Linked DNA regions of Nothobranchius furzeri. The protein of the gene in region 7 binds, or shares a complex with, the protein of the main gene of each other region. Links are inferred from orthologs where the notes say so. Each region holds a gene or a part of one and is shown on either strand. Other genes may lie near its edges. The genes, in order: lsm5, lsm3, lsm6, snrpg, snrpd2, ppih and prpf8.

Region 1 (3,862 bases), on a different chromosome or scaffold from region 7:
CAGATGGAGAGCAGCAACAAGGAGGATCACTGTTTCCAGATCTTAAAAGATCCATTAGAGCCGCTCAGACCAAACGCTTCAGGGACGCGTTCACTACCTAACCGTGTGTTTCCTGTTGCTTTCATCAGACAAGAAAGCAGCAAGGCACCAAGTTCATGTTAGCACGTTTACACACACCTGAGCTCTGAGTGTGTTACTCAGGTAAAAAGCATCCAGATCTGGTTTTGTGGGAGAAAAGTGGTTTGCCTGCAGGCTGAGCTAAAGGGAGGTGTGGCTGCTGTGATGTCACAAGAAAGCCTCTTTTTTATGTTTGTATGAATAAAATATTTGTTCTGAAAATATGCACTACTTTAGGACTTGGGTTTAATCATGCCACCAAATAAAAGGAAGTTTTGCTTCAGAGTCAGTTAGAAAATACCAAAATGCAAGTTACTGAAAGGAAAATAACGAATTTCACATTTTTGAGAGGAACTGAGATATTTCTGATGCAGTTTTTAAAGCTTGTAGCATCTTTGATTATTGTTGTTTCTTCCTATTCTGCCCATCACCGTTACTGAACATTAGATAATCAATTAGTATGGAGATCCAACCGGATGTGGGATCAGGTGAGCAGCTGCTGGAAACAACTGGAAAATTATCTGAGGTGGCAGCCAGAAGAGATGTTATATAACTCCGCACAAACAGCTAGAAATCAAAGACGGTTAAAATTAATATTTCCATCTGCATCAAATCCATCTCACCTGCAGTGAGCTGGACCATAACCCTCCATTCTAATGTTTTAGTAGGAATGCACCTTTATACCAGAGCTAGCCACAGTTAGCATGAAGCAGGTTCGTACCTGACAGCCTTTTTTATGGTGAAATCCAACAACCACGATGTGTAGCACCGGCCCCTTCCCTTCAGTTTCGCTGCCGTGAGACTCCATTTTCCCTCAGTCTTCTGTTCTGGAGGTCCGGTGGCGTTTGTGAACTCAGGGGGTTCGGATGTAAACACAGCGAACGGAGCCTAGTTTGAGCCCCGAATCTTTCCCACGCACACACACTCACGCGCGCGCGCACACACACACACACAGCGCTGCAGCTAGATTTCAACAAGATGTTTCCCTGTTCCTCACTTCCGTGTTTGCGTTACCGATTCTGTCAGATCCATCGGGGTCAGAGCACGGATTAGCTGTTAGCATTAGCTTTTAAATGAAAAACTGGTTCAAGTCGCATTTACACAATTTATAACAACCTGTTTCCAATGAATCTACTGACATATTTTCTTGCGAATATCTGATTTTGATCAAATCCTAAAATCAGTCAAGCATAACTTAACCAGAAACAGGAAGTAAACAAATAAACTCTCCATGCTGCAAAATCCATACTTAAGTCTTATACTCAAATATTTTTGCCTCTAAAGTGATTGTTGTTTTGGATGTTTTATTTATTATTTTTTGTGGGGGAATTTAAGTATATTTTTTTATCTATAGCATTCCAAAGTAAATCAGAGTTTGTCTATTCTTGCCTGAATTCGATTTGCTCTTGATTCGATTGGTTGTGACTGCTGCAGTCACACGAAGAAAGTCATGGCGGCTACTCAAGCGACAAACCCGTCACAATTGCTCCCTCTGGGTTCGTAAAATCTAATTTTGTTCCGTTCTTGCTTCAGATAGTTTCGCCTTTAGATACATTTCAATAAGAACCGAACAAGCAGTTCTAATTTAGTGAGTAGCAAACAGAAGTGAGCCGTTTTAGCGGTAAAATCACGCCGGTGTTACGTACAGATCTTTTCACCGAAGTAAACCGTGTCCCCGCTTCCTGACAAGATTTCTAGTCACAGGATTGTGTTCCTCCTGCTAAAATATATTATCTGTGGTGTACGGATTTAATTGTCAGTATGTGTAATTTGTGAAGTAAGCAGTTGCATGTATTTGATAAATTTAGGAACTCGTGGGGGTTATGCTTAGTTCAGCCATCTTTATTGCTTGCATTAATTTACTAATAAAAGTCAAATAAGGAACATTTTACCATTTAAAACATATTATAGCTTAAAGAAAAAGTTTTAAAGAAAACCCCCGGAGATTCTGGTTTAGATGGGGGACACATCTCGATGCAACACCAGCAGGTTTTAGCTAGCTGCAGATAAAGCAATAATTTCGTGTTCAAGCGTGAGTTTTTACCTAATTTATTTTAACAGAGGAGTATTTGTGGCAGTCTAAAAACTAAAAGAAGTGATTGTGTCCTATTTTACAGCAGTTATGACCTGAAAAAGTCAAACCAGCTCGGGTGCCTTAATGAGGATGGCGTGCTGATTGTACACCTGTCCGTGTCTGAACATGAGCAAAAGCTGAGCTGCAGCAGTCATAATAATACTCCTGAACTTATTGTGTTATTTAAATTCAAAGTAGTCACACCCGTGAACAACTTTCGTTGACAACTGACAAGAAAATTCATTTCGTCCATCGACATATATTCAGTTAGATTTAGTCATATTCTTCTGCCACCTACTGGCCAATTAGTGTATGTGCAGTACAAACCTCAACAGTATTTCCCTTAAGAAAAAATGATTTTTAGTAGTTGGTCCTGATTGGTTTTAGATGCTAAACATCACATTAGTTATTTAGAAAATTGTTAAAATCAAACTGAAAACTGTAGAAAATAACCTAACCTGTTATATTTTCAGAGCTTGTGGACAAATGTATCGGCTCTCGAATTCACATCGTCATGAAAACCGACAAAGAAATCGTCGGCACCCTGCTGGGGTTCGATGACTTTGTCAGTATCCTTCCTTAAAAGCTGCTGATCAGCTGTAGTGCGTGATTCAGAGGTGACATGTTCAGATTTGGTCCTCAACTGTGTGTTTCAGACATGGTGCTGGAGGATGTGACAGAATTGTAAGTGTACGTTGTTTTATTAACCGGTGTCTGCCTCATTCATCCTGCTCATCTCCTGGTGTTTCTTCCAGCGAGATCACACCAGAAGGACGGAGAATAACCAAACTGGATCAGATCCTCCTCAATGGAAACAACATCACCATGGTAGGACACAAACGGCTTCGGTCTCTCTCAAACATCACTCAGCTGGATGATTCATGTCGGGTTCATTTCTCCTGCAGCTCATTCCTGGAGGAGAAGGACCAGAAGTGTAAATCCTGTTTTGTGTCTTTTGTTTATTCTCTCCAGGTTTTTGGAGCATATTTTTGTAACATTCTTTGTTCAGTTTTTAGTAAAAGAAGCAGGTCTCACGTGGGAATTAAGATGTCTTTGTTGCAAATAAATCTGTTTGAAAAACATCCTTGTTTCATTTATTTATCATAAAAAGTAAATTTAGTGCAAACATTGGGACAAAATGAAGTGTTACCATCAGAAACCAGTGATAAAATCCAGCATCCAGTCTTTGTTGGACTGTAAAGCTAAATGAGAAGTTTCACTTTTGACTCATGAACAAAAAACGTGGAACCGATCTAGAGCTGAAACAACTAATCGACTTAATCGATTATAATCGATTATTAAAATAGTTAACAACTTTTTTAGTCATCGATTAGTTGTTTAATAATCATATTTTACCGCATAAAGTCTATTTTTTACCACAATCAGACATCGGTTACAAGCTGTTAAATTTGCCGCCAGTGTGTGGCAGTAATGAGCCACTGATCTACCAGTGGAGCCGTAGAAGAAGAAATGAGCCAATGGGTGCCCTCGGTTTTCATGACGTATCACGTTACTGACGCTCATCTTGCTGTGAGAGATGGCGGAACAAGAGGAAATACGGAAGAAAAATAGAAGCGACAAAACTGAAGAGAAACCCCGGACAAAAACCTCACGAGTATGGGAGCACATTTGAGACGAAAGCATGTGGGGGCTGATGCAGCAGAGGAAGAG
Region 2 (4,237 bases), on a different chromosome or scaffold from region 7:
ATTCAACCACATAAAAACAAAATTTTCAAACCTGAGCATGACTAAATCATAAAACACTAACGTCATGTAAAAGAAAAAGAATGTTCTGGGACTCAAATGCAATCATTTAGCTAAAAATCAACATAAAAGTTGAGCAATTTAACAAACATTTCGCTCACAAGGGGACCCGAGTCTTTATAAACACTGGAATGACTCAATCGGAACTGATAAGATTCAGAAAAATGTTTTTCTACTAAAAATAATAGTATCTACTGAGGCCGATTCTTACAATCCCAGAATGTGTCAAAAAATAAAAAAAAGTGTCCTCACATCATACTTCCTGGGTTTTTCCCCCCTCAGACATTTTGCCCTAGAGAAGAGCCTCTGATTCACATGAAATTTAAAGATGAAATAACAGTCTAGCATAAGGAAAATGAAGATTTATAACACTCTCCTACAAAAATGGACACTTCCCAGAAGCAGTTACATCATCCTGTCAGGCATGGGGGGCTTAGCCGACTCGGAGAGGCGGAGCTACGAGGACAACGCCGTCTCCTCTGACAAACAACATGGGGATGTTCCTCTTGGTAGACTAAAGAAACAAATACAGTAAAAACATTTAAATAACAGATATTTTATTTAAATACTCACTAAAGTACCGTCAAATTTAAATAAAACTTGAGTTTCTGATCATGAACAATAATGAAACCTCGTAGAATCTTAAAATTCTGTTTTATTACTTTCTGCAGATCTATTCAGCGTTATGTTAAAGTGACAAGTTAACATCGTTTAACGTTTCTGCATCTGATGGATCTTTAAGCATCACCCAACAGTGGCACAAGTTTGCCACTAAGCAAACACAGCAAAGAGTCCAAAACAAAAGCTGTTCAGTAGAAATGTGGCTAGAGAGGTTTTTCTATGTTTGTTCATAAAAACTGACCTTATAAAGTTCTTCATACGTCTCCTCATCAATCTCCACTGTTGTCACCGTCTCCTCCACATCCCCCAGGATCATATTTAAGTGTTGGTCATACGCCTGGACCAGATGGCAAACATTAGTTAGGACATACAGGTGAAACTGGACAAAAGAGAATATGGTGCAAAAGTCCATTTATGACAGTAATCAAGCTCAGATGGAGAGACCATCTACAGGCTCAGGAACCCTCTGCAGGTGTTCTGGATTCATCAGCTGATAAAAGTCTGACACTAGAATATTTACCTGAACACAATATTCTAATTGTCTGAGATTATGAATGTGGGGTTTTCATCAGCTGAATGCCATAATCATCACAAATAAAGGCTGAAATATCTGGGTTTGCGTGGAATGAGTCTGTCTCATAGATTAGTTTCACCTTTTAAGTTGTTTTACTGACATTAGAATTTTCAGTCTTATTTTTTTTACCTGTTTTATCAGCAAGTATTGTGAAAAAACTGGATCTTCTGAACCGTGTGTGTGTGTGTGTGTGTGTGTGTGTGTCGTACATGTAGTCGACCGCGGAGCTCCCGGTCATTCCTCATCTTCACGTAGATCCGCTCATCCAGACTGAGCCTGATCAAATCGAGAGGCTCCTCCACCGTGTTGGTAGGTGGTTGCTGTGGAACACATTAAAATAATCATCAATGTACGGATTCCATTTTTTATTGGCATATTCATCAAATAGCAAACATTTAAAAACAAAACTAGTCGGTTTTTTTACACTCACCGGAAATGTTTTTAAAAATCTAGATTAAAAATATCCAATAGGGATGGACAATATATCGGCATCAATATCGGTATCGGCCGATGTTAGTCATTTTTAAACATATCGGTATTGGTCCCATAAATAAAACCGGGCCGATATTAATTTTTCTATCTCGTCTCCATTTGTTTATCAGTTTCAGAGGGTGAGGGGGGTGATGTGTATTTGTTTAATCATGTGACAGTGATTGTAATCACCTCAGAAGCGTAAATGTGTGTGTTGTGTGTACACAATAATGTAAATCCAGCTTTAATAATTTTCATTCTATATAAAATCTGCAGATTTTGGAAGCATTAATGTCAGTGTATATCGGTATCGGCAAATATCGGTTATCGGCCATAACAGTGATCTTAATATCGGATATCAGTATCGGTCCAAAAATTTATATCGATGCATCACTAATATCCAAACATTGTTTAGCTGAGTCTTTATATTGTTATTTATTCATTTTTGTTGTGTCTGTACAGCTTTGTTAAGGCTTGCCTTTAAAGACCAGGGCTTAGAAAACAAACCATCTGATAGGAAATGTAAAGAGAGTGTGCAGAAGTACTGATCAAACCAATTAAACGTCTCATGACTTATTAACACTATGGTATCTTTGTCACTAATATCTTTATTTTCAATTAAATTGCACATTACAGCTTAGAAATATTCATTTTAAATCATAAACTTTGATCCAAACAGTTTGTTGAGACTCGTTACTTACTAAAGTTAATAACTAAACACAATAGTTAAAGAAAACTCAATATTAATTATTTGTCCAATTTGCTAGACAAACATAACGGGAAAAGTCATTCATTAATCTTTCATTTGTGAGAATCTGGTAACTTTTACGCGCTTACTGATAATTTTAGGATGAGCTGAACGCTAGGTGAATGTGGGCTAACCGGTTTCACAGGCCTAAACACAATTAAACCGTGTTAGCAATTAGCAAAATGCTACGCTTGTATCCTTAGATTAAAGAAATGCATAAAGTTAATAATGCGCGACGAAGTCAAGCAACTGCACAGACGCTAAAACGAACAAAAGTGTATAAACACGGCAACCAAACGAACCTGCTCCACTTCATCCGCCATGATGCTTTAACTGGCCTAGTGCCTCAATGGGCTCTGAGGTCGCAGTCATATATACGTAGACGCCCCGTGGACGGCTGCCGTAGTGGCCGACCGCCATCTTAGTTGGGTCTCCATTCGCCCCCACTGCATTAATTTCTACTTAGGAAGGTGCTTAGCCAACTAAAAAACGCATTTTATCAAGCTTTTTCACAAAAGCTGATACAATATATGGCATGATAATTAAAATATAAATATAATTTAACAAAATAAATTAAAATATATTTAAATATAGAATTCCATGAGGTAGGCTTGTAAAGTTACTAGTAATCCCGCTTGATCTGTTTTCAAATTGTACGCCGGTTGTTGTAACTGTAGGCTGCACATAAACGGGCATAGACCTACAGGTCTCCCATTAGATGTTTAGAGTATCTTGATCTTGATGCTGTGAGGGTCGCTAGAACGGGCTATTTTGCTGACATCATTGATACAAACTGTAACAATTCAAAAATTCTCCATAAAACGCTTAACTCTGTCTCAGTGTACCAGGACTCTGGCATCATTTTTTCTACTGCTGCTGGAGAATGTGATGACTTTCACAACTTTTTCACTAGCAAAGTCTCTGCCATTAGAGCTGCTATTTTTGGTTCATCTACAGACCCTGATCCAGTTACTCCAATACAGTCCACCCTGAGCTATTTTAATACTCTCTTATTCTGAGTTGTCTAAGCTTGTCTCAGGGCAGAAGTCGTCTAGCTCTCCACTCGATGTTTTGCCACCTCGTCTGTGGAAGGAGGCCTTTCCGTGTTTGGGTCAGTCTCTGCGTCTGATCATTAACGGCAGCCTGAGCACTGGAGTGGTTCCAACTGCATTAAAAGCTGCAGTCAGTAAACCGATCCTGAAGAAACCAGAATCTGATGTCTCTGTGCAGACAATTACAGGCCAATCTCTATTCTCCTTTTCAATTTGAAACTTCTGGAGAAGGTTGTGTGTCAGCAGCTTTGCTGAGAGACTGGGTAGGCATATCAGGATCTGCTCTGAAGTGGTTCTCCTCTTATCTGTCTGAGGGTTAGGGTTAGGGTTAGGTGCTTCTCTGTGGCCGTCTCCAAGTTTGGGTCCTCCACCACCTCCCTCGCCCATGGTGTCCCACAAGGTTCTGTGCTGGGCGCTCTACTCTTCCTCCTCTATCTGCTCCCTCTTCAGCACATCCTGAGCTCCTTCAAAGAAATCTCCAACCATCTTATGCAGATGACATCCAACTGTACATCTCCTTTAAGCCCCATGAGATGTCGAAGTTGCAAGAACTTGGCAGTGCATTTCAGAATCACTTGTTTTTCTCCACTGATTTATTGCTTTTAACCATTCATTAGAAAATGTGTGCAGGTGCAGTTTGGGACACATGATTTATTTATTTATTTATTTTTATCCAAACCCTTATGTATGACTCATTGTCTGGTGACAGGACAG
Region 3 (4,420 bases), on a different chromosome or scaffold from region 7:
AACACTGGTCATGAGATTTGAAGCGTTGCTGCCTTTCACAGACACTTTTTCTGCACGTGCTGCAAACAGGATAGCCGTCTTCTATAAACTGTCCCTCGGCATTCTTCAAATATTCAAAAAATGCCCGTACTTCCCACTTTGTTTTCTTTGAGGTATAATAAATGTCCTGCGCGCTGCCGTTTCCTCCTTTGGCCATTATTTCAGCTTTAGCTTCAAGAAAGTTTTGGTTGTAAACAACAAAGTGCGCATGTGCCGCTGGCAACTTCAACAGATGATACGGTGGCTGGTAAGGGTCACCGCGCCTACACCGCAGCCACGGTAAACCACCGAGATAATATAGTTTTTTTAAAAACGGACGGTTATTATTATTGTCAACTTTTTTTTATTTTACCGGGGTTTACTGCTACACCGGTTACCGTGACAACCCTACCTGATCGGTCTGCTTTGATCCATTTTGAAAACTCCGATCAAAACCGATAGGGGCGCTATCGGCCAGTTGGGATCAAATGCCGATCCATCGGTGCATCCCTAGTAGTCAGTCGCAGCTGTATCTGCTCAGTCTAGAGAGGCACCACAAAAATCACACAGGTATCAAAATATTCCCTAACCCTACTTATTAACCCTATTAATGTAGAAGTTTACACTTCCAAAATATTCTATTTAATATTTAAATTCAAACAGCATATTATATTTAAAAATCACCCAAAATTAGTATCACTTTGAGGCAACACAAATCAGTTTCTGCCATCAGAAGCTAAATCAGTACATTTCTAATGTAACATAATGAATTAATTAACAAACGATGCTGTAAAATAGTAGCATTTTACCAGTTTTTTCAAAGCAGCAACAAAGGGGCTCGATGTTTTCATCGGAAGTGAGCTTCCTGTATAACTCCGACATGGTTAGTTTCCCAACTTTAAAAGGGAATATCTTGTGGTTTTCCTATAAAGATAGGTTTGAGGTGCAAAAATGCTTAATGAGAAAATGAAAATAAACATCTTGTGGTGCATGACTTTGAAAGTTTCATTTAAAAATTGTCAACAAATTTAAATCTCTAATCACTTTGGATTGAAAAAAAAAACCTAAACAACTGAAAGATCTATTAGAGCACACAGTGTAATAATGTTGTCTCTGTGAGCTAATAAGAATGAGGCTAGGAAGTTGACTGCACCAAAGACTCAGATCATGGCAAATGTACAGCCTTCATAACCTGGAATGTTTAATCATTAAATATGACTTGGAGCTATAGTAACAGAGGAAAACGGTGTTGTATAACGCCCTGCAGCGTGAAAACATCAAATCTTACCATTATTTCCTCTCAAAAAGGCATCTCCATACTTGTTTTTGAGTTGTCCATTGACATACTCCTCCGTCTGCTCTATTGCGATGTTCATGTAACCATCCAGACAGGCCAAAACACCTGCTCAGAGACAAACACAAACTTCAGATTAAAAATAAACTTACCTGGGCAATAAAACAACAACAGACCTGAACGTGCCAGCTAGGGAAGAGGGGCATACTGTTTTTTATGCATTTTGATGCAAACATAAACCATTACAAATTCATTCAAAAATTATCAAAACAGATTTTAATAATGATCATTATTTAGGTGAGTGTAAAAGGCAGACATCTGAAGTGCAGAAGTGTGGCACATTATGGTGTGCAACTGGGATGGAGTTTGAGTCTTGACTGAAGAAATAAATACATCAAATACTGAAAAACTGAACATTTTAAACTGTAACAAAGATGTCTGAGTAGGAGTGTTGTGTCAAAAAGTGTTCCTCCTCCATGTATCTGTGTAACCTGTGTGAATCTCTCTTTAGCTTGGTAAATGAATTAATATCAACACAAACACAAATAGTTTGTTGAAGATTAAAGCAAAATTTGGTCCTCACGAAACTTTTCAAGTTTATTCCAATTACTCAGCATTTAACTGGAGTTTAACTGCAGTAATTTAACTGTTTTTCAGTTAGTGTTTGTTTCATAGTTTCTAATCCTATATGGGATTACATCATTCAACTTCCTGTCTGCCTGTATAAAGAACTTAACTGTAATGAATTAAAAGATCATTAAAAATTAAAAGTAGTTGTCAGGGGGTCATTGTCTAGAACTAAACATGAGGCAGAAGGCGTAAAAAGATGCATCAATGACTGCTTAACAAACCCTCTGATTCATAACCTAATCAAACTCTGAGAACCCTAAACATTCCCACACCTGATGCCAGCTGCATTACCTCTGTAATCAACACCAGAGTTCAGTTTGACCACGACAGGTCTCCCAATTATCTGCTTCAGAAAGTCACTCGGGGTCTGCTTTCTCAAACTCATTTTCGCTTTTATCTAAAAGAATAAAACAGATGAGTAAATCTCATTTTATCACAATAAAGAACCGCATTAGCATTACCCTAATACACATTTAAGCTATAATTGATTATCTAGTAACAAAGGCATTATTCAAACCCGAGAATATTAAAACGAATAGCTGTAGCCAGATAGTACACGCCTAAATGCAAAACTATGTACGGTTAAAACGTTCAAATTATCAAATGAGCTTCTATGTAGCTAGCGAGCTAAGTGCTAACTACCAGCTATTCCGTGGGTCAGTTCGTTAGCCTCTAATAGCGTAGGAGATTGTTTAACAATAAAGTACAATGTACAGGTATTGTTACATCATAACAGATCCTAATAAGATAGGAAATAGATGTTTTACTAGTTTTACAGATGCGAACACCGAGCTAGCAAGTTACTCACTGGATGAACGATCTCACAACGATTTTATGTTCGGCGCATTGACCAATCACATTGGAGGACTACGGAAACTATGTAGGGACAAATGTCCTGAAAGCGCAAAGTTTTAATTCGATAGACAAAACAAGAATATTTAAAAGTACATTTTAAAAATACGATATACCCATTTCCTTTAACAAGTTATTTTCTATAAATGTATTTCTAATATGTTGTAATTAATATTATATCCACTGGCTTTCATATTATAATATACTAAAGTTTTTTTGTTTTGTTGTGCATTGTTATACTTTGAATAAACTGAAGCATTAGTAATATTTCTATTATGTAACAAATTCATACAGAAAATGAGAAACTACTGTAAATATGTAAAAACATAATATTTCATGTGAATGTCTCATTGTATTATTTTACTATTCTTTTTACAAATTCAAAATTTATCTCAATGTAATGTGGGATATGCACAAATAAGCCTATTCCAATTTCAGGTACATTTTCTTTCTTCTTGATCTGTAAGTGTTCAAACGTTTAAAAGAAAGAAAGAAAGAAAGAAAGAAAGAAAGAAAGAAAGAAAGAAAGAAAGAAAGAAAGAAAGAAAGAAAACAATCTTTTCTGTAGCTCCTCTCAAGACAAAAATCTCAAGGCACTTCACAAAAATATAAAATATAAAAAAGGTTTCAAAAAATGATTTAAAATATGTTCAAAATAAGCAAAAATAGACAATTGTGATTAAAAAGGCAAAGAGAGAGAGAGAAAGAAAGAGAGAGAGAGAGAGAGAGAGAGAGGGAGACAGAGAGAGAGAGAGGGAGAGGGAGAGGGGGAGACAGAGAGAGAGAGAGAGAGAGAGAGAGGGAGGGAGAGGGGGAGACAGAGAGAGAGAGAGAGAGAGAGAGAGAGAGAGAGAGAGAGAGAGAGAGAGAGAGAGAGAGAGAGAGAGAGAGAGAGAGAGAGAGTGAACAGGAAAGAGGGAAATCAGTGAATCTTGGGGAAATGGGAAAATGTGCACAGTATGTACAGTCTATGATGTGCACTTAAAAAAGACATCTTTTCATTCTTATAAACACATCACTTGTAAGTCGCTTTGGACAAAAGCGTCTGCTAAATACATAAACATAAACATAAACATGTGCCTGGTGAAATATTTTCTTATTATAACAAACATTTGTTAACATCACAAAAACTATTGAACCAATGGAAAACTTTTTTGTAGTTGTGAAGAAGTCTATGAATAAAGTGTATGAAAACAAATAATTCTTTTAATTATTCTAACGAGTAACCAACTTCGGGTTTGTAAAAAATATTATAGACACACACACACACACATATATATATATATATATATATATATATAAACCTTGGATGCTGGGAGCACGACCCAAACACTGCACAGCTTGGGAGGTACATGAGAAATGGTGTATGGGGGCAAACAAGGATGAAATAGTGGGGAGAAAAACAGAAGAGCATAGAGGGCGTGAGGATGTGCCAGTACGTGTTAGTGGAGACAGAAAGGTTGAGAGAGAAAGTAAGAGAGAAACAAAAAGAGAGAGACAGAGGGGGGATTGTGAAAGGTGGAATCATAAAGTACTTCTTGTGTGTCTAGACAGGTTGCTTGTTAGCAGGGCATGGCTAACCCTGTGGAGGCTAGAGGTTAATTTGGTATCTGCTGCTGTGTTAAA
Region 4 (2,568 bases), on a different chromosome or scaffold from region 7:
TAAATGAGAACATCTCAAATGAATGAGTATGGGAAAAATGACAATCTAGTGCCCTCGTATCAGCAGATTCAAACACAAATCATCTCAATTTATGGGACCACAAAAGTAATCGGAGTACTGACTCTCCAAGTGCATCTCAAACCTGTAACATGCCAAATATTTGAGTTCCTGGAATCGAATCTGAACCTTTATCAGAGTCCCGATTCAGACTTGAATGGATTTTTTTCAGCACCTCTAACTTCTAACTAATCACACATGGCCATGGGAACAGGCTTCTACTTCAGGATATTTTCAAACAACTACTGTTACAAATATCCCGACACATCATGCAGGTGTCACTAAATAAAAAATGCTTAATTTACAACAATTCAGTGTTTTATAAACTTTTGGGAAAGCTGCACAAACTGGGTTCAGAGAAGTAGTTCCAGCAGCACCTGAACGTCTAAAACGACTCCGTTAGCTAGTTCAACTCTTCTGGTTGTAGACTGCTTCGGCACTTCAGCAGTAAAAACCAAAGGTGCTGTCATGTTACACAGAACAGAAACTCACAGTAAACAAAATCAGATTTATTCACAAAACATTCAAACAAAAGACCAGAGTGGAGGAAATAAAACAAGTTTAACATCTAAAATGGAATACAGGTGATGCTCCTCTCTCATACTCTCTCCAAGGCCTCCAACATGATGATGCTGTTTCCTCTGATCACCTAGGAAAACAAAACACAGTTATTTATTCAGTGTTTAACGTGTGTGATGCCCGACTGTAGCCAACCACACCAACAGACGTTCGGTTCTCACTGGAAGCTGAGACTAAATACTTGCAAATATGGATCCAGACACCTTTTTAGGACTGGGCTCAAAACATTTTTATTTGATTTATGTTTAGGGCCCATGGTTAAAATCTGATGTTAGCCCAGATGTGGACAAGTGGGGGAGTAGAGGGAGGTGGAGTGTGCTACTACTAGTTTACCCGTTTAATTATAGATCCACTAGGATACATACAATAAAGTTTATCTCTCACGTAATAGAATATTTACTAAGACATCACAATGTACCCATAGAAACACCACTGTGTGCGTGTGTGTGTGCGTGCATGCGTGTGTGTGCGTGCATGCGTGTGCGTGTGTGTGCGTGCATGCGTGTGTGTGTGTGTGAGTCGTGGAGGATGGCTGCTTATACTGAGCCAGGATTCTCTGGAGGATTCTTCCTGTTAAAAGGGAGTTTTCCTCTCTACTGTCGCTGCATGCTTGCTTAGTATGAGGATTGCTGTAAAGACTCTGACACTAGTCAGTGACTTGATGCGACCTGCTGGCTTCCTTATATAGGAAAGTTGTTACTGATTGGCTTAATGACCTGACCCCCCCCCCCCCCCGGTCTCAGGTATTTAGTCTACACTCTTTTCAAAGATCATGACAGACCAACATGGCTAATTTCACGGTATTTATTAACAAAAACAAAAGAAAAGAGGAGAAGGGAACATGGTCAGGTACTGACCACCATGCCGATGGTGTTTTGTTGTCCTCCTGGGGCCATCTCCAGACAGTCGTCCATTACCAGGTTCATGAAGGGGTCAAACCCTCGCAAGATGCCCTGCACGTGTCTGCCTCCATTCAGCTTCACTAAAAAACAAGTTATTAGTGCTGAAAACACACACACAACCCTAACCCTAACGTTTCAAGTGAAACTAAACTGGTTTGCTGCTAAAAATAAGAAATAAAACAACAAAATGATCAGGCTGAATAACAGACTCTTATTATGAAAGGCTCAATAATATGCATCAGATTGGTGTTTAGTTCCTTTTTCTTGTCTGATATTTATAGTTAAAGTATTTGTATATATCTGACCAACATTTCAGTAACATTTTAGGTTTGTAGTAATAACACTCATCTTAGTCAAAACAACATAAATATATGCGGTAAAATATAATGCTTTTCATTAACTTGCATTTGTGTTGGAAATGGTAATAACATGTAATTTCTGCTGCTAACAGTGTAACGGTGGCCTATCTGTTATGTACAGGTTGGCAATAATCCAGTTTAATTTATGTTCAAAGATAGAAGCATTTGTGAATTATATACTACAACAGCTTGCCGTACTTCCTGCTCCTGTGTGTGGAGCAGACTTGTAGCAGTCATGTGACTCGTATCTGCAGCGGGTCTGATAGCGTAGCGCTGCAGGATGCAGAATAAACAGGATGGTGGGGACTTGTAGAGTTTAGTCTTTCTTAGTTGTTAGTGGATGAAATCCCATCATCTCCAACTCAACCTCTCTAAAACTGAACCACTTGTCATCCCAGCAAAACCATCCATGCAGCACAATATCTCAATCCAGAATGACTTCCTATCTCTGGCTCCTTCAAAGGCAGTTGGAAATCTGGGTGTTGTGATTGATGAACACCTGAGCTTTAAAGATCACGTTGCCTCTGCTGCTCGTTCATGCCGCTTTGCGCTGTATAACATACGAAAGATCAGACCATACCTAACACAACATGCCACCCAGCTCCTGGTGCAATCTACTGTCATCTCCCGCCTCGATTACTGCAACGCCCTTCTTACTGGTCTTCCAGGCC
Region 5 (4,224 bases), about 10 Mb from region 7:
ATCCTAGAGACTTTGTTTTTCTATAAACAAAATATTCTGTCATTTTAAATAAATAAACATTTAGATTTGTGCATTTAAATGTTAATAGTTTGATTGATAGACTTGTATCTTGTACTTACTCATCTGATTTAATGCTTGTTGCTCTCTTAATTGGGCCACTGTAGTGTGTTCAGATTAGAGAATGCAGCTCCATCCCATGTAAGGTAACGCTGAGCTCATTTTAGTCTGCATCTCAAGATGCAAGAGTCTAGGGTGAGTGTGCTTGGTAAAGGTATAGAACCGTGCAGTCTGGAAACCAATCCCACTCATTCACCTCTCCCAGCAACACACAGCCTGCCATTATCTACAGCAAGTGATTTCCACAGGTAGATCTGTAACCTTTGGAACAAGGTGGGTGGGTTGAGCACCCATAGGCGTCTGTCTGTCTCTTGCCAGAAAGCCAATCTCTTAGTGTCTCGTTGCTGCCACATATACCCGTTTCTCTCCTTTACACACACACACACACACACACACACACACACACACACACACACACACACACACACACACACACACACACACACACCTTTGCTGTGTTAAACAGCGAAACAAAGGCTTACCTGTTTGGGCTGCAGACTACGGAGAGGTCTGCTTCCTCAGTCTTATTTATTTCCTCTTTACTTTGTGAGGAGAGAGTTTTTGATATAGGGCTGCATGGTACAAATGGTACTGCTTCCCCACAACAAGAAGGTTGCAAGGTTGCCTTTCTTCAAAGTGCATTCTGGCCATGCATACACTGGTTTTCACTGGATACAACAAGAACATTTAGGTTCCATTGTGTCTCTAAATATAAATACATATTTGTTTGTCCCTGTTTGTCTCCATGTGGCCCTGTGCTAGACTGGTGACCCATCCAAGGACTCACCTCTTGACTGATGAGTGCTAGAGTTGGGCATCAGCTTCATGACGTATGAAGAATAAGCAATGACGAAAAAAGAGGGGCTTACCTTTTACACGCTTGTTCTATGCACTGGTTGTGTTGGAACTGTATTGAAGAACTACTATAGATGATGATGATGATGATAGATAGATAGATAGATAGATAGATAGATAGATAGATAGATAGATAGATAGATAGATAGATAGATAGATAGATAGATAGATAGATAGATAGATAGATAGATAGATAGATAGATAGATAGATAGATAGATAGATAGATAGATAGATAGATAGATAGATAGATAGATAGATAGATAGAATTTAGGAAAAAAGTAACTAAGAAAATAATAGTTTCAAGATTTTTACATTTATGGATGATTTTTTTTCCATTACACTTACCGAGCAGAATCTCCGTAACCCGGAAGTTATAGCGAACTGTTTAGAGCGCGTTGAGAATGACCCGGAAGTGTTTTCGTCCACGAGAAGAAGGCAGAAGCGTTGCTCATAAGAATTAGACGGTGGAAACGAGAGAAAAACAGCTTTAAACAGTTTTTATAAACCACCAATCATGTAAGTGTCGTTGATGATGAGATAGCCATTTCGGAAAGTGTCATTTTTTGAGATAGAGTATCAGCTACGAGTCGCAGCGTCTTTTCTCGAATGCTAACATGTTTAGCCTTTTCACTGATGAATGCTAGTTAGCTCACGTTGTGTTGCTTTCTAAACGTGCTATCGCTTTTCATATTTTACTCACCATTAACCTAATATGTACAGGGTAATTACTGCAATAAAATATATGTAGTAGTTACGTTGGTGATCGTTAATGATGCTACGATTGTTTAAATTTTATGTTTGCCAATTGCGAAATATTAGCAGCACGATTAAGGAGACCGGTGTTGAGTCAAATTGTGTTCCCCGTAGATAACAGTTTGACCAACTTTCTAAAATGTGCGTTTGGAGAATGAAATTGTCAGGATATTAGCCTAGTAACGAAGTCGGCTTTATGTTTTTGAAGCATATGAGCTTATTTTAATTCAGAACATCATTGTTAGCGACGTTCTGTCTCAAGGATGTTCCACATGTTTTTTTTAATCAATCTTCTAAGAAATCCATTGCTTGATACAAAAGAGTAAAGGAAGGTTATGAAGAAACTCAGAGAAACAGTTAATTGTTAATGCAAAACTTGTCATTCTAATCTCTTCAATTTTTTTTAACTTCTGATTGCTAACCAGTAAATTAAACGTGTATGTCTGATATTGTTGAATATTTGGCTATTGCTAAAAGTAGCTTGGTGTAAATTTTTTAAAATAAGTTATTAGTTTTGTTAAATGCCTATGGGAACTTCCCCACTCTTCTACTGAGAGATTTAAATTTTAATCTCGGTTAAAGTCAGGTTTCTTGAATTGCATTTAGTTAGGGTGCCTTGTTTTCATTTATTATCTTGTAATCATGTAAGTTTTAAAAGCAAACCGCTAAAAGGACTTGTGACCGTTATCTGTGCAGAAGCAAATGATCTAGTATCGTGTCTGCTTTTGTGTAGGAGTCTGTTGACGAAGCCCAAATCAGAGATGACACCAGAAGAACTCCAGAAGCGGGAGGAGGAGGAGTTCAACACCGGCCCCCTGTCGGTGCTCACCCAGTCAGTGAAAAACAACACTCAAGTCCTCATCAACTGCCGCAACAATAAGAAGCTGCTTGGAAGAGTTAAAGCTTTTGACAGGTATTGAAAGAATTTTCATCTAAAAAAAAACATTCAGAGTTCTGCATCTATGCGAGAAAATTTTACATTTAGCTTTTTATGTTTATTTATTTGCAGACGCTTTTATCCATAGCGACGTACAATTTTTTACTTGTAGGGCATGTTGTGATCTGTAGGGGAAACCGGAGTACCTGGAGGAAACCCATGCATGCATGGGGAGAACACTCAACTCCACGCAGAAAGGCCACAGCCGAGTTTCGAACCTGCAACCTTCTTGCTGCGAGGCAACAGTGCTAACAACTGCGCCACCATGCATTTATGCATTTGGATGGCAGAGTCAAAAAACTTAAAATCACATTTAGGTATGGCTGCCACAAAAGACAATTTTAATAGTAGACTAATCACCAGTTTTGTTGACGATTAGTCAACTAATCATGTCATCATGCATAAAAGTATAGCTTATTGCACCAGGGTGCCCTAATATACCCGATGATAGCTTATCAAACAGCTTTTAGTTAACTTTGTAACCCAGGGGTGCCGGAATCCTGGTCCTGCATGTTTTAGTTTGAACTCCGCTTCAACACACCTGATTTCAATCAGCAGCTAATTAACTGGCTTCTGCAGAGCCTGATGAGCTGCTGCACAGGTGTTTCAACCACTGAATCATGTCTGTTGGAGCAGAAAAAACACAAAACCTGCTGGATACCTGCCCTCCAGGACCAGGATTGGGCACCCCTGTAGTAACCTGTTAATACAAATGCTAAACAGTCAAATGGAGGTAGGCACCTAAAACTAGGGCTGTAGCGAAGCCTCGACGAAGTCGACGGCTCGATTCTAAAAATTTGTCGACGTCAGATCCGGAAGTTGACGCACCGCGCCCACTTGTTGCATCCCCAGGAGTTTGTAAATAGAGGAGGAATCTGCCTGTTTTTCCTCTAGTTTGCCCTCTTCTCCGCCTTCACTAACATCTCCGCCAAATACCGAAGACCCGGAACAATGTCCGTCCACTACTAGATTATTTTCCTGTTTTTCCCCTTCGTCTCCCGGCAACGGACAACAACTTCCGGGGTCAGATGCGCTGCTTCATGTCTATCGCAGATGTAGAAAATCACCGGGAGCGCTTCTCCCTTCATAAAGGAGCTTCTTTCAGACATGAGGAGAGCTGTTTTGGTGGTAGCAGTCTCTCCTCCCTGCTGGTCTGTTTGCTGCCGGGTGTTTTTGGTTTATTTAAACTTGGTAACTTGAACTTTTGGTAAAGCTACTGTTAGCATCTTCGCTAACAGCTTCTTGCATTGGGATAAGCTGTTACGTTTTGGTTTAGAGTTCATCTTTTTTGTGGTGTAGATCTCCCTTTTATTACATTTAGAGTGTTGTGGGTTTTCGGTTTAGTGTAAAATATTACCTGAGTTTGGTTTAACCCGTAAGACCACTCGCCTCACGCACATAAGTGACCAAAACAAAGCAGCATGGAGACACTCCATCTTCTACCACCTCTCAGGCAGCAGCCTGCACTCCCAAGTTCTACACGTCACCAGAACATAACCAACCGCAACACAATAAAAGCATGGAAGGCCTGTAGTGTTTATTCTCTTACAGTAAGAATTTA
Region 6 (4,161 bases), on a different chromosome or scaffold from region 7:
ACAAATGATGTCCGTAAATTTCAAATACACATTTTGATGCCAAAAAAGCGCTTATTTTCAAACAGCGGCAAAAGCTGTTTCAGGTTTTGTGTGGAAAAATACATATAGGACTACAAACGTTCGTCCCACTAAATTGATATAATTGACCCAGACAGAGAAGAGGGGGAGATCAGTTTAGCAAAGAATCCTTCTTCCAGGACCAAAGAAGGAGCATTAAACGAAACGTGAAAACCACCATAAATCTGGCTATCTGATAAGTAGCAGCTACGCTGGGGAGAAAAGATTTTGTCGGGACGTCATATATGCGACTTCTGATTTGTAGTCATTTTATTTACGAATTTTTACAAGCAAACAAAGCTGAAATTACATGACATAATTGTGATTCAGGGCGTAAGGCAAAGCGGGTTATTTTTTCTTTGCTCCAGGGACCCATGAGCTGACTGGAAGGGGAGGAGACTTGGGTTCTTATTATCAAGTTTTACATCCTGCTGTTCCAGCGGGTCGCACTGGCTCATGAGCTCCTGTGGTTTCACAGACTTTGTTTAGATCATCCACTCAACGTCATTAGTTTCGCAGCAAAAGAATTATTCAAACTACGTCCACACGAATGAACTGTTCGGTCCTTTATTGTCAACGACGTAATTAACAGTGTCCATCTCTTTTTTTCCATTTGGGGCTCTCATTTTTCTACTTTTACCTGAAGCAGGAGGCTACAGATACACAAACATGAGCGGTTAGCAGCACATCCGCCTGGCTGCTACTGAGCTGTGGGTCTCTACTCTTCATACCGAAGTTCTATCTTCCCACTCTCACATGTCCATCGAGGAAAAGTTGTTTTGAAATATTTATTGCCATCGTTTCATTGCCCAGCCCTACCTTCAGTCCTTCTGGACAAATCCTTATAGCAGAAATCCACTATGATTAACAATGAATAATGAGAAGTGTTCTAACAGATTGAAGGTGAAACATCTACATATGTTTGAGATTCTGCTGCAAGTTAAATTTTGTTTGGCCAAGTAGGGTGGAGTCACCTGGTCTGAACGAGGCTGAAGGTAAGGCTGCTACAGAACATATAACAAATTGTTTCTAATTATGGCTTTCTGCTCTGGGTTCAGATCAGTTACAGCCATTTGTGTAAGTTTCCCAGTGACAAGCAGCTACATGTTGTAGCTTTAGAAGTGAAACATCCTCTTCAAATTAAACTAAATCAGATGCCGTTTCCTGATTAGGTTTGTACTGAAGAGCATTTGATGACTTCAGCTGCAGTGAAGCAAAGAGAGGGGAAATGTCCACATGAAGTCATTGTAATAAAAAACTTTACCGATTCCATAATCATATCCTGCAACACGACTTCAACAGAGTTAAAGCTACATTTCAAACCCAATCATATTCAGAACCATTTTTTCCCTGTATGTTTACAGGGGAGCTGGTGTCCATCTCCAGCAGTCACCGAGCGAAAGGCAGGGGTTCTCACTCCATGCAGAAATACACAACCAGTCTCACACAGAAGCAAGTTATGGGCCATTCCCATCTGTACCGGGTCGGCCCGGGCCGGGTAGGGTAGGTTGTTTACATATCTGGGTGGCCTGGTATTTTTCCGGGCCAACCAAGGCTCATTCTCAGCCCTCTTCTCGAGGGGGTTTGCTTCAGGCCGACCAGGGCCAACACACCCACTGCTGACAGCAAATTCACACCTTCCATTAGAGCAAGCCTCTGATTGGTGGGTAGAATCAGCCCACATGGGCTTAAGGCAAGGATGTGTGGAATCAACCGGGCCAGGCTGGGGCCGACCGGGGCTACCCGGCCCGGGCCGACCTGGTACAAATGGGAATGGCCCACTAGAGCCCCCAATGAACCGAACATGCATGGTTTTGGTCCATCAAAGGAAACAGGAGTGCCCAGGAAAAGCCGACGCAGAAATAGCGAGAACATGCTCTACACATAAAGGCCACAGCTGGAATTCAAACCAGCAGCCTTCTTTCTGAAAGTCAACAGGACAACCTACTGCATCGCCGCCCTAATGCTACGTTTAACAGAGAAAAAATAGTGAAAACATGTCTTTGCCCTGAAATTCTGCAAAATTTTGCACACATTTTTAACGGTTTTGTGATTTTTCATTATTGAAAATAACTCACATTAGTTTGAAATTATTAATACGATTATTTCAAACTTTGCTTTATAATCAGTGGTCAGGGGTACTTTGTAAGTATATGAGAAGTATCCATTTGCATGCAGTGTCTGCTATGTTGAATGAACATGTTCAGCATCGACACAGATCTGCTGTTTTGTTAATGTCCTGGTGCATGCTTTAAAAAGCAGGTGAGCCAACCAAGTTCTTACTGGTGGCACTTGCACACGCAGAGCCACTTTCTCAAACCTATAAAATCTTCTTGGTGTTGATTGTCGAATGTTGAAATGGAAGATAAAAAGAACCTCAATCTCGTTTTTATTCAAGTTAAACGTTTTCTCTGCGCCTTTCAAAGCACATAAATATCCACTACTTAAACAAAACGTTAAACGTAGCACTGATTTACTATTATAAGAAACAAATAAACTAAACATAATACCTAAAATTCTGCTTACTCTCCCATAAACTTAATCAAAAGGCGACTTTGCGTTGAGATGAGTAACTGAGCGCGGTGACGTTGACAGCACGTTTTCGGTAAAATAAAAAGAACTTTTGGGTTCCACTGACCTGCCCTCCGATGGTAATGTCAAAGAACACGATGGGGTTGTTTGGGTTTGTCGCTTGAACAGACATCGATATGTTTTGACCGCTTTTGCACAGATTTCAAATTACAAATCGGCAAAAAAAATTACATACTAGCCATTTGAAAATAGAGAGCATGCGCAGAAGAAACTTATGGTGGCTCGCGAGAGACAAGGTACGAATTGCAACTAGGGACAAAAACCTAGACATGCATTGTATATATTTCTTCTTTAGACCCTGGCTAATGTTGGTGTAAATCTTTTGTTTCCCATAGCTATGTTATTACTAGGATTTCACATAACTTAAATCCAACCTTTTCCTGATGTTTAGCAGTTCAAAAATGCAAATTTAAAATGTTTCAAATTTTATTTAAAGGTCAGCTGGAAATAAATAACTAAATATTAAAATACAGTCTCAGTGAATAGTAAAAACAGAATTAAGTTGAGCAAAATAAAATGCAATGTACGTCTTGACTCCACTGTCCTCTTTAGAAGAAGAGAGCACAGGAGAACCCAGGAGAACACGAATGAACACTCTAGAATGATTTTACCAGAGCGCCACCTTGTGCTGCATATTTTTTCACTAAATAAAAATAGTCAAATATTGAAAACACGACTTGGGAAATTCGCAAGAAATAGAAATAGGTCAATTTTGGATGTGTTGGACAAGTAAAAAAACCCAGTATTTTCCAACATAAAAACACTTGAAATATCTTATTATACACTGAAAGATGAGTAATGTATAGTTCCTAGTGGCTAAATTATGCTCAGAAAATTATAATTTTCTCCAACTCATTATAATAGAGATTTACTAATATAAATGCTTCAAACATGTTTTGTATGATGTATGGCAAAACTTCAAGTTCAGTATTTGAATCTAGATCTATAAATGTATAAATTACTTATCTTTACTTCATAGACTTGAAAACTATTTATTTTTGCAGGGCAGGGTATGCCATCAGAGTAATATTTTAAATAGATTTTCAAAATAACATCTCCGACTTGTTCTTTTGATTAATTATTTCATATTTCTTTTCATGGTTCGTTTTCAAAATGTCAAAAAATGTTAACAGGTTAATATAAAGATTTGTGTGCGCGCGCGTGCTCGTGTATTTTTTATTTATTTTTCAAAACAAATCCATGACTAGATGGCAAAAAGTCGTAATTTACGAGGTACAATGAATGTGGCACAGAACCTTGTGTACCGTCTGTAGGAGGAGTCGTGTGTGCTTCACTATCCGAAAAAGCCACACAAAAGTAGACCAACACGGAGGAAAGACAGCTGTTCTAATACTCGTATGGGACAAAGCAGGTAACAGTACAACTGGTGTTATAAAATGAATTATGTTATTTACCCGAATTGCCGAAACATCTGTTAGGATTTACCCTTTTCCGTGTTTATTTCGCCAAGACTCTGGTCTGCTCCTTTTTGTTTTCCCGGTACACATAATT
Region 7 (4,208 bases):
TAAATTTAGTTCACAGTAAAGATGTTTGATTCAGTTTAATTATCAGCTGATAAAACTACAAGGGCGCTGTTAAAATACAAACAGTTGTATGTTATTTATCGTGATATTTATCAAATATGGTTATAAATTGAGAAAAAAATATATATATCTAATTATAAAAGAGAATTAAAATAATAAACACTCAAAAGTATCGAAAATTGGTACCGTTAAGTACTGGTATCGATTCGTAGGTACCGGGAATTAGTACCGGATCGATTCAAATGTCAAAGGTACCCATCCCTAATATAACTTAGTTCCTGTAGAAATACAATAATATAAAATTATTATCTCTATAATCACGTGTGTTATCCGCTCTGTTCATTTTCAATATAATAAGATAGTTACTGATTAAAGAATTCAATCAATAAGCTAAAATAAATAAGCACTGGGTGAAGACAATCAGGAAACCTATCTGTTGCCTGCTGAGATTCTGAAGTGAATGAGTTCCAGAAGCTGTATGTAATAGTACATCTATGACATCATAGAACTCAACCGTACCTCTTTGATGTCTGTTTGATCGTGGTAGTTCTGTTTTCCTGGTTGTCCTAATGACTATTGTTTGATCGTGGTAGTTCTGTTTTCCTGGTTGTCCTAATGACTATTGTTTGATCATGGTAGTTCTGTTTTCCTGGTTGTCCTGATTGTTCTCCTGGAAGTCGAGGTAGTTGAAGCAGACAGAATGGATGAACTGGATGCCAGAGCAGTTTTGCTCTACGGCAAGAGGGATGTGGGATATTGCTCTTGTTGTGCAATAGCCTTTATTATGTTTGTGGCATGTTAGACCACATTAATCTACGCACCAGAGTGGACAGGCAGGGAGAAAAGAGACATACAACACAAACAGGGAAAGAGAGGGAGGGGGAAATGGAGGGACAACAGTACACTAAAAATAGAAAACAGACCGCCAATACAGTGGGGTCATCATTTTAAAAAAGTAATAATAATAATAATAATAATAATAATAATAATAACACATCTACAAGAATAAATGGAATAGGAGCTGTTAAATTATATTATCCATATTTATAGTAGCATGTAACTGTGTGTGTGTGTGTGTGTGTGTGTGTGTGTGTGTGTGTGTGTGTGTGTGTGTGTGTGTGTGTGTGTGTGTGTGTGTGTGTGTGTGTGTGTGTGTGTGAGAGAGAGAGAGAGATAGGATCCTGTAAGGGTCGGTAGTGAACCGGAAATGATTACCCCAAATCATCCGGGAAATCGCTGCTTTACGCATGTCTAACGTTGGCGCAAATTATTTCACGTAACCTTCTTGAAAAGCAACAAGCAACCATACTGTTATATCTAGCGTAGGTGCTTTTGTGAATTACACCAGAGATGCGCTGATGGCTGATCGTGTGGTTACCGTCGTGGTTTGGTTTAGCTCGATGGTTTAGCTACGACCATCTCAATTTATTAACGCGGAAAAAAGCACCAGACGGCAACTAAAAAGAAGAAATGTTGTAGTTATTGTTTGTGAGTGGATCGAGGGTGATTTTGAAGTACATAAAGTGCCGTCGGAGCGAAGGTAACGTGGTGTAAGATGTTTTATACTCGTTAGTCTTTTATTGTTGGTTAACGTGCAGCCTTTAGCCGCTATGCTAACAGCGCCGAGCTTCTCCGCGCTGGGCCTGGAATTCGTTATCGAATTACTTTCACAAATTATTTGTAAAGCCGACAATGGACTCGCTGTTTTAGTCTATTTTTCTTAAAAATCTTTAATGCTTGACCTGTGCAAAAATTAGATATAATTTACGTGAAGTCTGGTGGTTTGAAAGTTTAGCGTGTTGTCGCTTAGTACGCCATTGATGAGCTAACATTGCAAACAATATGCTGTTCTCCGGTTTGTTGTGTTTTCGTTTTTCATAAGTAAAAATTACTATATTTTTGAAGTAAGCGGGCATAGTTTACTTTCAAATACAAACCCTTTAAACATTTTACGACTTAAGTTTGATTTAACGGAAAGCCAGATTGTGTTAAAGTGCGTTGTTTAACTTTAATTTAATAAGCCTGTGTGTATTGTTTTTTATCTTTTGTATTTAGCAGTGAGGCACCATGGCAGGAGTCTTTCCCTACAGAGGGGTCCTTCCTGGGATGCCACCGGGTGTGCCTCCTGTTGTACCCCCGGTTGTCCCCCCAGGTGTTCCCCTGGTTGTTCCTCCTGCACCAGTTCCAGACTACATGACGGAGGAAAAACTACAGGAAAAGGGTACCTTTTTAATTTCAGCTCAGCAAATCAAATGGTTGATGGGCTGTGCTTTGCAGATGATCATAAAATCATCTCCTAAATTCCCCCCAAATCATCGCCTTTGTCAGTGAATGTCTGTGTGAATGGATGAATGTAAAGCACTTTCGAGTCCTTCCTCTGAGAGGCGCTATAGATATTTATCATTTATAATTGAATTGTCTCCGCATCTAATCATACAGCAAGGAAATGGCAGCAGCTACAGGCCAAGCGTTATGCTGAAAAGAGAAAGTTTGGCTTTGTGGACGCCCAGAAGGAAGACATGCCTCCTGAACATGTTCGCAAAATCATTAGGGACCATGGCGACATGACCAACAGAAAGTTCCGCCACGACAAAAGAGTTTACCTAGGGTAAAAAATAATTTGTTCTTTCTTGTTGATGCAAAATGCTTTCATACTTTCAGTAATACCAATTCTATCTTGTGCATTATTTGCTGATGAACAGTGCACTCAAGTACATGCCCCACGCGGTCCTGAAGCTGCTGGAAAACATGCCAATGCCCTGGGAACAAATCCGAGACGTGCCTGTGCTCTACCACATCACGGGAGCCATTTCCTTTGTGAACGAAATCCCTTGGGTTATAGAGCCGGTCTACATTTCTCAGTGGGGGTAAGTGTTTGGCATTTCCTACTTTTCAGTTTTGAGCCAATCTTGAGTATCTTATTAGAACGTGCACATTGATGTTACTTTGGTATAATTCATTAATGGTATTCCCTTAATAAATTTCAGCACCATGTGGATCATGATGCGTCGTGAGAAGCGTGATCGACGACACTTCAAAAGGATGCGCTTCCCCCCATTCGATGATGAGGAGCCGCCGCTGGACTACGCTGATAACATCCTTGATGTGGAACCTCTGGAGGCCATCCAAATGGAGCTTGATTCAGAGGAGGACTCTCCTGTGGTGGACTGGTTCTACGAACACCAGCCCCTCAAAGACAGTTCCAAGTGGGTATTTTTCTTTCTTTTTATGTCAACACTTGCTGTATTTGGTTGTTTCACAACTTGAATAATTAAAACATTAAACTGTTTTTCAGGTTTGTGAACGGAACCACGTATCGTCGCTGGCAGTTCACGCTGCCCATGATGTCAACGCTGTATCGTCTGGCCAATCAGCTAATGACAGACCTGGTGGACTTTAACTACTTTTACCTGTTTGACCTGAAGGCCTTCTTCACTTCAAAGGCCTTAAACATGGCCATCCCAGGAGGACCAAAGTTTGAGCCGCTGGTCAGAGACATAAACCTCCAGTAAGAAGCTCCCATCTATTTATCAAGCATGCTGCCTGTGGAAAAAATATTTGTGAATCAGTATCACTTTAAACAGTCAAATAAAAACAGGTACTGAGTGTTTTCTCACTAGGCTGATGGTTACTTTTTACCTTCAGGGATGAAGACTGGAACGAGTTCAATGACATCAATAAAATCATCATCCGACAGCCAATCAGAACGGAGTACAAGATCGCTTTCCCCTACCTGTACAATAACCTGCCACACCACGTTCACCTCACGTGGTAGGAACCAAGCCAGTGATGACCTTAAGCTTAAACTGACTAATGCATTTATTTGGGATAAATCGATTAATAGAGATGAAATGACTGAATTCCCCAAAATGGAAGAACTGCCATGACCGACAAGTGATTTTTGCTTTCTGCAGGTACCACACACCGAATGTGGTGTTTATCAAGACGGAGGACCCGGATCTTCCTGCTTTCTACTTTGACCCACTGATCAACCCCATTTCTCACAGACATTCTGTCAAGGTTTGTGGTGTGGACAATCCTTACTGAGGGAGCAGAAGGGAATATTGTTTTATTTCTGATTAAGTCCTCTTACAAAGGCGCACTTGCACTGGTCCTCCTGCCTGTGCGTAAGAACAAGAGGAACATTAAAATGAATGGTGATTGTTTTCTGTCTCTGGCTGCAGCTGCAG

What was found.
Region 1: prpf8 (region 7) and lsm5 share a complex: the UniProt entries of both Homo sapiens proteins name them as parts of the U4/U6-U5 tri-snRNP complex. The link is inferred for Nothobranchius furzeri from reciprocal best matches to the Homo sapiens genes PRPF8 and LSM5.
Region 2: prpf8 (region 7) and lsm3 share a complex: the UniProt entries of both Homo sapiens proteins name them as parts of the U4/U6-U5 tri-snRNP complex. The link is inferred for Nothobranchius furzeri from reciprocal best matches to the Homo sapiens genes PRPF8 and LSM3.
Region 3: prpf8 (region 7) and lsm6 share a complex: the UniProt entries of both Homo sapiens proteins name them as parts of the U4/U6-U5 tri-snRNP complex. The link is inferred for Nothobranchius furzeri from reciprocal best matches to the Homo sapiens genes PRPF8 and LSM6.
Region 4: prpf8 (region 7) and snrpg share a complex: the UniProt entries of both Homo sapiens proteins name them as parts of the U4/U6-U5 tri-snRNP complex. The link is inferred for Nothobranchius furzeri from reciprocal best matches to the Homo sapiens genes PRPF8 and SNRPG.
Region 5: prpf8 (region 7) and snrpd2 share a complex: the UniProt entries of both Homo sapiens proteins name them as parts of the U4/U6-U5 tri-snRNP complex. The link is inferred for Nothobranchius furzeri from reciprocal best matches to the Homo sapiens genes PRPF8 and SNRPD2.
Region 6: prpf8 (region 7) and ppih share a complex: the UniProt entries of both Homo sapiens proteins name them as parts of the U4/U6-U5 tri-snRNP complex. The link is inferred for Nothobranchius furzeri from reciprocal best matches to the Homo sapiens genes PRPF8 and PPIH.

Annotation. Positions count from the first base shown.
Region 1 is NC_091747.1:62,679,427-62,683,288, forward strand, and holds lsm5 (U6 snRNA-associated Sm-like protein LSm5), read left to right. Parts: upstream 1-1,489; 5' UTR 1,490-1,567; coding exon 1,568-1,613; intron 1,614-2,664; coding exon 2,665-2,760; intron 2,761-2,847; coding exon 2,848-2,875; intron 2,876-2,946; coding exon 2,947-3,019; intron 3,020-3,096; coding exon 3,097-3,129; 3' UTR 3,130-3,273; downstream 3,274-3,862. Other genes in the region: late secretory pathway protein AVL9 homolog, read right to left, coding at 839-925. UniProt on the Homo sapiens protein: Plays a role in pre-mRNA splicing as component of the U4/U6-U5 tri-snRNP complex that is involved in spliceosome assembly, and as component of the precatalytic spliceosome (spliceosome B complex).
Region 2 is NC_091743.1:73,197,505-73,201,741, forward strand, and holds the start of lsm3 (U6 snRNA-associated Sm-like protein LSm3), read right to left. Parts: upstream 2,861-4,237; 5' UTR 2,795-2,860; coding exon 2,774-2,794; intron 1,573-2,773; coding exon 1,462-1,572; intron 1,016-1,461; coding exon 920-1,015; intron 572-919; coding exon 491-571; 3' UTR 1-490. UniProt on the Homo sapiens protein: Plays a role in pre-mRNA splicing as component of the U4/U6-U5 tri-snRNP complex that is involved in spliceosome assembly, and as component of the precatalytic spliceosome (spliceosome B complex).
Region 3 is NC_091744.1:10,586,865-10,591,284, forward strand, and holds the start of lsm6 (U6 snRNA-associated Sm-like protein LSm6), read right to left. Parts: upstream 2,840-4,420; 5' UTR 2,751-2,839; exon of another isoform or gene 2,710-2,750; intron 2,690-2,709; exon of another isoform or gene 2,585-2,689; intron 2,340-2,584; 5' UTR 2,328-2,339; coding exon 2,234-2,327; intron 1,421-2,233; coding exon 1,307-1,420; intron 943-1,306; exon of another isoform or gene 828-942; intron 1-827. UniProt on the Homo sapiens protein: Plays a role in pre-mRNA splicing as component of the U4/U6-U5 tri-snRNP complex that is involved in spliceosome assembly, and as component of the precatalytic spliceosome (spliceosome B complex).
Region 4 is NC_091755.1:44,518,775-44,521,342, reverse strand, and holds the end of snrpg (small nuclear ribonucleoprotein G), read right to left. Parts: intron 1,619-2,568; coding exon 1,494-1,618; intron 707-1,493; coding exon 656-706; 3' UTR 552-655; downstream 1-551. UniProt on the Homo sapiens protein: Plays a role in pre-mRNA splicing as a core component of the spliceosomal U1, U2, U4 and U5 small nuclear ribonucleoproteins (snRNPs), the building blocks of the spliceosome.
Region 5 is NC_091753.1:27,245,723-27,249,946, forward strand, and holds the start of snrpd2 (small nuclear ribonucleoprotein Sm D2), read left to right. Parts: upstream 1-1,351; 5' UTR 1,352-1,487; coding exon 1,488-1,489; intron 1,490-2,459; coding exon 2,460-2,639; intron 2,640-4,224. UniProt on the Homo sapiens protein: Plays a role in pre-mRNA splicing as a core component of the spliceosomal U1, U2, U4 and U5 small nuclear ribonucleoproteins (snRNPs), the building blocks of the spliceosome.
Region 6 is NC_091755.1:32,544,981-32,549,141, forward strand, and holds the start of ppih (peptidyl-prolyl cis-trans isomerase H), read right to left. Parts: upstream 2,879-4,161; 5' UTR 2,762-2,878; coding exon 2,696-2,761; intron 1-2,695. Other genes in the region: zgc:154075 (putative oxidoreductase YteT), read left to right, coding at 4,008-4,021. UniProt on the Homo sapiens protein: PPIase that catalyzes the cis-trans isomerization of proline imidic peptide bonds in oligopeptides and may therefore assist protein folding. Participates in pre-mRNA splicing.
Region 7 is NC_091753.1:37,707,778-37,711,985, reverse strand, and holds the start of prpf8 (pre-mRNA-processing-splicing factor 8), read left to right. Parts: upstream 1-1,380; 5' UTR 1,381-1,558; intron 1,559-2,073; 5' UTR 2,074-2,085; coding exon 2,086-2,239; intron 2,240-2,457; coding exon 2,458-2,626; intron 2,627-2,720; coding exon 2,721-2,885; intron 2,886-3,005; coding exon 3,006-3,224; intron 3,225-3,313; coding exon 3,314-3,526; intron 3,527-3,663; coding exon 3,664-3,789; intron 3,790-3,932; coding exon 3,933-4,038; intron 4,039-4,208. UniProt on the Homo sapiens protein: Plays a role in pre-mRNA splicing as core component of precatalytic, catalytic and postcatalytic spliceosomal complexes, both of the predominant U2-type spliceosome and the minor U12-type spliceosome.